Linked DNA regions of Macaca mulatta. The protein of the gene in region 1 purifies or fractionates together with the protein of each later gene. This does not show direct contact. Links are inferred from orthologs where the notes say so. Each region holds a gene or a part of one and is shown on either strand. Other genes may lie near its edges.

Region 1 (4,529 bases):
GTGGGTAACAATCATGGCCTGGGCATCCTTAGATCTCCAGATGAGCACAGGGCCAAGCACAGGTGGCACTTAGAAAACATTTGTTGGGTAAACACCAATCCTGAATTAGGAAGCGCTCATTATAGCACAGTCTGTTAATGCATAGATGTGGGTACGACCCCAGGACCAAATTAAAACTAGAGGACTTAAATCGCCAGGTCTTGGAGGCCATATTTTAGGTGTTATCAGCCCCCAAAACATTTTGTCACAAAGGGCTTCCACCACCTGCAACATAAGAGGACATCCTTGTGGAGAAAACAGATGAGAATCTTACCCAGTGTTAGGTGAGAAGGATGAATCGAAGGTCAGCTTCAGTCCATGTGCAAGCTGAACAGAAAAGAAATTTGCCAGTAGGTTTAGTCACAAGGCAGGCCGGCAGATGTGAATTAGCAAATCCGTGTCTTTTCACAGCAGCCATTACCTGATCTTCCACAGTAATCTCGGTGCCTAGTGTATTGTCGGTGTTCCATTTCTCTGTAAACGTCAGGCCGTACTCAGTCCATCTGTACTTGGTTTCCAGACTGCCCGTCACTTTGGTGGTCTCAGTGTTGGCTGAGCCTGAGCTTGTAAATTCCTTCAAAGGAGAGAGAGAGTCACAACCTGTACCACAGCATTCACCTGGCTTCACTCCACTCCTAAACACTACACTTGCCTTTCTGCAAGAGGCAAGACCCTGAATGTGACGGGGCCAAGGCTAACTCTACAATTCAAATAGATATTTAAAGTACAGATGGGAGTAAAGGAGCCTGCTATGTAAAGAAATCTTATGGGGAATTCGTTGTCAGCAGACAGCTTCCTTCCTCCCTGTAACTCTTCAGTCTGGACAGGAAAGCATCTCCCCTCCATCCTGGCTCCAGCCCGGTACAGAAAAAAAGCACTGAGCTAAAGCTGACACAGCAGTAACTCAAACCCAAAACTTCTTCCTTCCAACAATTACTGCACACACAATTTAAAAGGGACTACTAAGATTACTTTAAAAACACTTATGTGGTTGAACACAGGTGAACGTGAAAATAAGAAGCACAAGGAAAACTGAAACTGAGACCTGCCCCATTCTGCTCTGAGTATTACCCGCTGCTGAATTGGGGGCCTATTGGCATGGTTCCCCTGGACCACCCATCATGTAGAAAATGGACTGAATGTGAAAACCACAAACTGCCAGAATTTTTTTTAAAAAGTACCTTCTTTTGGTTTTGCCGGCCATGTCATGACAGTTATTTGTTGATCTACAACAAATTCCCATGTTCCATACAATGGTCACTATTTGGGTAATGGGTACACTAGAAACCCAAACCTCACCGTTACACAATACATCCATGTAACAAACCTGTACATGTATAGCCTGAATCTAAAATCTTTTTTCAAAATAAAAATAAGCCAGGTGTGGTGGCTCATGCCTATAATTCCAGCACTTTGGGAGGCCAAGGCAGGCAGATCATCTGAAGTCGGGAGTTCAAGACCAGACTGACCAACATGGAGAAACCCCGTCTCTACTGAAAATACAAAATTAGCCGGGCATGGTGGCATGCGCCTATAATCCCAGCTACTCGGTAGGCTGAGGCAGGAGAATCGCTTGAACCCTGGAGGTGGAGGTTGCGGTGGGCTGAGATCATGTCATTGCACTCCAGCCTGGGTGACAACAGCGAAACTCCATCTCAAAAATAAATAAATAAAATAAAATAAAATAAAAATAAATAAATACTCATGTTCCACGTGGGTTGGACAACTTACCAATCCATTCTCAGATTTTGTTTTCAAATCAAGCTTTATTAAGCCAAATCCTAAAGAAAGAAGAAGACAACTGTTAATAGGTTAAATAACTATCTAGAGAACAGCACCTCTGCCTCCCTCACGGTTGCTTCGAAACGCTTTTTTAGAAGAAGTACACTACTGCCACACGGGCTGAGGGCACCCAGTCTCTGCTGCTGCTCGTGGGGGGAGTTCAGCTGCCATGGAACAGCAGCAGACAGAATGCGCACAGGCCCACCTGGGTCCCACCTGCACTCCCAGCAGGGTTTGAGAAGAAGTTGCCTGACAGCTGGCAGAGACACAGTCATCAGGCCTCGTGGGCATGTGCCTAAGCACAGGCTAAATATAGAAGCCGCGCTCCACTGCAGCAGCTTCCACAGGGTTGCTCCACACTTGGAAGAGAAAACAGGAATACCCACTTGACAGCATCAATGCAGGAGCCCGTCCAACTGGGGGCACAACCAAAACTGCTTCATTTGCCACACAAATGAAAGCTGCTTTTTTCCTTCACGTGAAAGTCAGAACAGCTGACCTACCCAGGTCTCCTAAACAGTTATCGGTAAAGTCTCAAACATGCCAACTCAGTCTGGGGGCTGAAAGGCACCCGCTCTCTGCAACACTCACCATAGCCCTTGGTGAAGACATCCCTGGCAGATTTGCCAAGATCAGCATACGTGGGTGGCACAGCCATCTTCTGCTATGATAAAAGAATCACCAGAATAAATGCATTGGTAATTAGGGAAATTAGCTTTCCATCAATAACAATTATTAGATGTAATTAGCAACCAATAAAAATCACCTAGCACTAAAACTTCCAGGTAGCTTATCCTCCCACATGGGCCAAGAAGCCCTTGCTGTCTTGTACTTCATTTTGTGGCCAGAGCTTGAGACACTCAGTGAGTCTTTGTTGACAGAGGATCAACAATTTAGACCTCTCCTCCTCAGCATCCCCAGGACTGAGCCCAGGCCCAGAACAGAGTAGGAGTCAGGAAATATTTGCTTAATGAATAAACTGTCAAAGACACATTCCCATGAGCCAATGACTTTACTGAATTTTAGGACTGTTGCCAATAAAACATATCCTCTTACAAAATGCCAGCTACTAGGACATTAAATGCGCCGAATAGAAATAAGAGCTTTTCATGGGAACATCATTTTCCATGTGGCTCTGATTTCATTCATTCAACAAATATTTATAGAGTACCTACTACATGCCAGGATGGGCCCAACTTTTCACAAAACTTTTGGACTTTATGGGAACCCACTTCGTATTTCTCATAGGAAATACAGTAAAACCTAACCAATTTGGCAGCTGTTCACGTGGAAAAAACCCAAATACATCCTACAAATAAATTAATTTAAACAAACATTTTTTTAAGCTCCAGTGTAACTTTATTTTCAAAAATAACCATCAAAGGACTACTTGGGATTACTGCATATCACTAAGTCAATCAACAAACATTTATTAAGCACCTCAGTGCTCAAGGAAGGAGAGTAACTCAAATAGTCTTTGCCCTGAGGAGCACACTGCAGTCCTGGAAGGCTTTGCTTTGGCATGCTGTATATGCTGTGTACACAGGATTAATATCCTCATCTGGGACTGTACACTGTGTGCTCTGCCCAGGAGCAGAGGGGGTCAAGCATGAGAAAGCCTCATCTCCTGCACCTTCTCCATTCCCAGAATCATTAGTCTCAACCAGAAGGACCATTCGTTTTAAAATACAGTATACCTAAATTATCAAAATGCATCTGCATATACACCATCTGAAGTTACATGTATATATACTCACACAAGTAAACACATGTATGACTTGCTCCTGGTGAGTGGGAGGGAGCCCACTAAAAAGTGGTTCAAGTGATCCTAAGGGAACAATATAACAAATGGAAGTTGCATTCTTGGCCAAAGCTTTAACTTCAAAGGCATTGCAGGAGGCCACAGACTCACTGAGTATGTTGCAAAAGAAACAGTATAAACTTCTACAATTTTAAATTGTGAAGTTGTGGTCCAGGTCCTACTTTACTTTTTCCAGATGCTTTGTTAATTTTATCCCAGCTCACTTTTGTGTCAGAGCAGAGACAGAAGAGCAGCAAGCTGTTTACTCTGTCCTATTTTTGTCGCTGCTATGTTATTTCTTGCACATGATCAGGCTGGAACCATGGACAGGTCAGCCCACATTAGGATCAGGATAGAGCGATGAGGAGGAAGAACCATTTTACACTGCCCGCCACTGGCTCTTTCAAGTCTGGGGGCTCCCCTCTCCCCACCTGTTCCTCCCTCCCAAACTAACCCTGTAGGTACATCCCCCTGGGATAGACAAGGAAACCATCCACCAGATCCTCAAGAAATATCCTTTGCCTGACCCCTTCCTAGGAGAACAACTCTGGATTGAAAGCTGAGGCAATGTAACCCCAGGCAGACACAGAACATAACAGCAAATGGCCCAGAACATTCTCCACCTGACAGGGTTAACAAACCATCAGTGAACCAAGCACCCCCCTTCAGTGCTATCTCTCCCAGCTGGGCTACAAACTCAGCTCGGGGTGGGGCTAGGGAGACAGGAGGAGAAGCAGTCCCGTGGTAATATCTGTGGGTCAGCTAAGACCTCCCTGGACCTTAGGAGCCAGAGCCTTCCTCACGACTCTCCCCTGACCCCACAGAAGAGATGCCTCCCAGACACAGTAGCCTTCACATCTGGACTGGTCCCCGCTCAGGATAAAGGCAGAACACTCATCCACTTAAT
Region 2 (4,529 bases), on another chromosome or scaffold:
TAAGTCACTTAGGAAGGGGAGGAAAAAAGATCCATGGTCAGAAATAAACGTAGTCGTAATTAATCAAAGAGTCTATGTTTCCAACAGAAATGATATTTGAAACTATAACTATAGTACAGCAATTTCACTCAAAGCCCAAAGCAATATTCTGCACACATGGAGATCCAAGCACGGCCTGGAGGTACTGGGAGGGCACTACTGAGAATGACAAAACTGAATTCCCTCCTTCAAAGTGCAGAAAGGGAACTGAAGTTGAGATAGCCAAGACAATGGCGTAAAGTCACAGCCAGCTGGGAGCAGGATGGGGACTTAACCCAGGTCACCTGGGTCCCAGTCCTTAAAGGCAGTTGGCCTGAAGGGCTGGCATAGGGTGATGAAGACTCCCACCAGCACCTCCTAGAGCCATGTGAGCTTAGCAGAGAACCCTCCAAATTCACAAGGCCCCTTGGGAGCAAGTGTCTGTGACAATATCTATCATCGTTGGTACTTACTTGTCTGTTTTCGAGGTCAATCTTGTTTCCCAACACAACAAAGGGGAAGTTTTCAGGATCTCGGGGACTGGCCTGGATGAGAAACTCATCTCTCCAGCTATCTAGGGTTTTGAATGTGTTGGGGGCAGTCACATCAAATACCAGAACACAGCAGTCTGCACCTCTGTAGAAGGCCACACCAAGAGACTGGAACCGTTCCTGTCCTGCTGTGTCCCATATCTGTGAGAGACAAAACATTTATTCCTCGGGAGAGTGCTAGGCAGAGCACAAGGAGCATGTATGCAGGGGATGCCAGAAGAAATGGGCTAGATTGTGAGGTCACCCACAAAGACAAATGACACCAGACTTCAGGAAGCAAATTTCAGCACCAGAGTATCCGAAACAATCCTCACAAATATTGTATGTAAGTATGTGTCTGTCTATAAGCAGGTGACACGAGTCCAATCTCCAGGGCGCTAGAAATTTCTTATATCTTGATCCAAGTAGTGGTCACATTTAGGTAAGTGTGTAAAATTTGAACTGTAAATAAAACTTAGGTACTCTGGGAACTTTCTGAGAGCAATGGAAATACAGGGAAGTGAGGTGATGACTCACAAATGATACAGTTCCATTTATGCATTTTACTGTATGAAAAGTTTGCCTAGCCAGGCACAGTGGCTAACCTGAGGTCAGGAGTTTGAGACCAGCCTGACCAACATGGAGAAACCCTGTCTCAACTAAAAATACAAAATTAGTCAGGCGTGGTGGTGCATGCCTGTAATCCCAGCTACTTGGGAGGCTGAGGCAGGAGAATCTCTCGAACCCAGGAGGCGAAGGTTGTGGTGAGCCGAGATCGTGCCACTACCCTCTAGCCTGAGGGACAAGAGCGAAACTCTGTCTCAAAAAAAGAGAGAAAAGTTAGCCTAAACAACAAAAAAGATTAGCATGTTATATTTCATTTGTATTATACCTCAATTAAAAAACAAATGAAAAACTCTTGACAGAAAGAGATCAAGAGAAAGACAATGAGAACACACACCAGATTAACTCCCAGGTACTACTGACCAGCTCTAAGCTGGTCACATCATTCACTGCCATGCTAGGTTTAAGAGCAAGGCTGGGTATATTTACTGCCCTAGATCCGTAACAGGCACTCAAACAGAGCCAGACAAACATGATAACTCAGATATAAGAATGAAGGGCAAAAAAGACAAATTTATCTCTCATGATTCCACTGCCTCTCAGCAGGTTAGGGCACTAAATGTTCCCTTCCCCAGATACAATAAACGAAGTCCACACATGTAGACTAAACAGGATCAGGGCTGCTGGTGGTACTCATTTATGTGCTCTCCTGGTTCTCCAATGTTCTACACTGAATATGTATGCATCTCTGTCAGTGGAGAAATGACCCCATTCTCAAACAAACAAACAAACAAACAAATATACGAACACTTGGCATCCTCCCACACAGGAAGGAGTTCATGTCTTGTTCTAGTTATTTGTGTGGAGAGGTTTTCTCCACACAAATAACTGACTGGAGACTGCACATGTGACACTCTCCACATTCTCCCACGTTCCTCCCCTTTACCCCGTCACGCACTAGGGCACTCTGGCAACAGCAGATGGGGTGACGTGGGAGAGCAGGTTCACTGGACTTTACAGCTGCCCAACAGATTTAGTGAACCATCCATTCCTGTTTTTAAGAAAATATTGTTGCCAATCTCCTGTAATTATAAACAACTCAGCAATGAACATTAGCATAGAGAGCTTTTTCTGTATTTCAAACGGCTTTTTTTCAGGAAGACTCCTACAAGCAGAATTACATAAGAACTCTGTTATTGTTAGGTGGAACCAATTCATCATCTGGAACTCATATACACAGAGAAGGCAAAGTAATACTTTCAAAAAGAAAAGTCAACAAGTTGATGGGTTCCTAGAAAGTTACCAAAATTAATTTAATTTTGAATTTACAAAAGTAAAGGCCATATTTATCAAAACATCAACAAGTACAGTCCTATGGCTGGCTGTGATCTTTAAATTTTTTAATATTTTAATTGAAATTGTTAACAGTGACCTAGGTTCTTGGAATCTTCCATGACAGAAATCAAGAGAGATCATCAGACACAATAGCAAAGAGAAAGTGAAAGTTTATTTAGCTTGTGCATAGTGAGCTAGCACTGCAAAAGGAAAGGGGCAGCTGTTCTCTGAAAGCAGTGTGGGAGTTAACTTTAAAGGGCCTTCCTATGGGGAGGGGTGATGTCAGGGTATGTATATAGGAGGGGTTTCTCTACCGCATGCACAGTGGCTAAACATGCTTCTTCAGAAATTGCGTGTAGCACTAGCAGGTTAAATCTCCACCCTGGGTGTGATTTTTAGCATTAAAATGAGGAAAAGGTAACTATAAGTTGAAGTCTAACTGCACATGCTGGGGGCCCCAGGGAGGTCCCTAGCCCCATGAAGCAGGAACTTATGATAACAGTTTCTTGGGATTTTTTTGCTGCTGATTGTCTGGAAGTTAGGTAAGCTACAGCTTGAGTAAGGGGCTTTTGTTCTTTTTCTCTAGACTACATCAAAACAGGAAACCAGCCAACCTGCTTGTCTCAAAATGGTTTGTTTTCTCCATTTAAAATTATACCCTTATAACTATCTACCCAATACTCTGATGTTACCAAAATTAACACTGTTATTTTAATCCATTTTTTCCAAGAATTAACCCTTCCCCCATTGCATTTTCTTCCTACTTTACCACAAGCAAATGCTCCTGAAGAGATACCTTACATAAATAGTATCATTCTGTACAGCTTTTTGCAACTTGTCTTTTTTCACTCCCAAAAGTTAACAGTTATATAATATTTCATTGCCTTAACGGACTACACTTAGTTTCCTAGATCATTTGAGTTACTTGCAGTTTTTCACTACTATCCATGCAATGCTGCAATGGTAACTCTCGTTACACCTCAGACGTCATGCCCAGACGTAAGTTTCTCTAGGCCATACACTCAGACTGTTGCTGCATAAGTGTATGTTCAACACTGGGGAACAGAGTGGCAGTTTCTACTGAAAAGGCTGTACTCATTACTACACTCCTACCATCAACCTGAGGCTGTTCAACTCCCTATATTCTAGCATCCACCAGGTTGCCTACTGCTTGGATATTATTAGGCATTAACATCTTTTTCACCTGCTTGTATGGTTTGTTTTTGTTAGTCTGGGAATCTTGTTATACAGATGTTTAATGTAATCTATTATCAATCTTCAACATTTTATGATTTGTACTTTTTTTCTTTTCTTTTTTTTTTTTTGAGACGGAGTCTTACTCTGTCGCCCAGGCTGGAGTGCAGTGGCGCGGTCTCGGCTCACTGCAAGCTCCGCCTCCCGGGTTTACGCCATTCTCCTGCCTCAGCCTCCCGAGTAGCTGGGACTACAGGCGCCCGCTACCTCGCCCGGCTAGTTTTTTGTATTTTTTAGTAGAGACGGGGTTTCACCGTGTTAGCCAGGATGGTCTTGATCTCCTGACCTCGTGATCCGCCCGTCTCGGCCTCCCAAAGTGCTGGGATTACAGGCTTGAGCCACCGCGCCCGGCCTCTTTTTTTTTTTTTTTTTTGAGACGGAGTCTCGCTCTGTCACCCAGGCTGGAGTGCAGTGGCAGGATCTCGGCTCACTGCAAGTTCCGCCTCCCGGGTTTACGCCATTCTCCTGCCTCAGCCTCCCGAGTAGCTGGGACTACAGGCGCCCGCCACCTCGCCCGGCTAGTTTTTTGTATTTTTTAGTAGAGACGGGGTTTCACCATGTTAGCCAGGATGGTCTCGATCTCCTGACCTCGTGATCTGCCCGTCTCGGCCTCCCAAAGTGCTGGGATTACAGGCTTGAGCCATCGCACCCAGCGATTTGTACTTTCCGTACTTTCAAATGCCAGAGGAGTAAAGTATTCACTATTTTCATTTTTAAAGTTTTCACTTTGTATTTTTTCCACCTTCAGGTCTTGAATCCTCTGGTTCCCCCAAGCTAGAATGTAAAGCTCTGTCCTGGTCCCACTTATTTACCCTACTGGCTAGGCGC

What was found. The genes of interacting proteins can lie anywhere in the genome.
Region 2: the proteins of VDAC1 (region 1) and RAB7A purify together in Homo sapiens (affinity purification with mass spectrometry; 3 studies listed by BioGRID and IntAct, with this or other methods). This does not show direct contact. The link is inferred for Macaca mulatta from reciprocal best matches to the Homo sapiens genes VDAC1 and RAB7A.

Annotation. Positions count from the first base shown.
Region 1 is NC_133411.1:142,894,260-142,898,788, forward strand, and holds part of VDAC1 (non-selective voltage-gated ion channel VDAC1), read right to left. Parts: intron 2,486-4,529; 5' UTR 2,480-2,485; coding exon 2,413-2,479; intron 1,821-2,412; coding exon 1,771-1,820; intron 614-1,770; coding exon 461-613; intron 367-460; coding exon 314-366; intron 1-313. UniProt on the Homo sapiens protein: Non-selective voltage-gated ion channel that mediates the transport of anions and cations through the mitochondrion outer membrane and plasma membrane.
Region 2 is NC_133407.1:155,150,640-155,155,168, forward strand, and holds part of RAB7A (ras-related protein Rab-7a), read right to left. Parts: intron 711-4,529; coding exon 492-710; intron 1-491.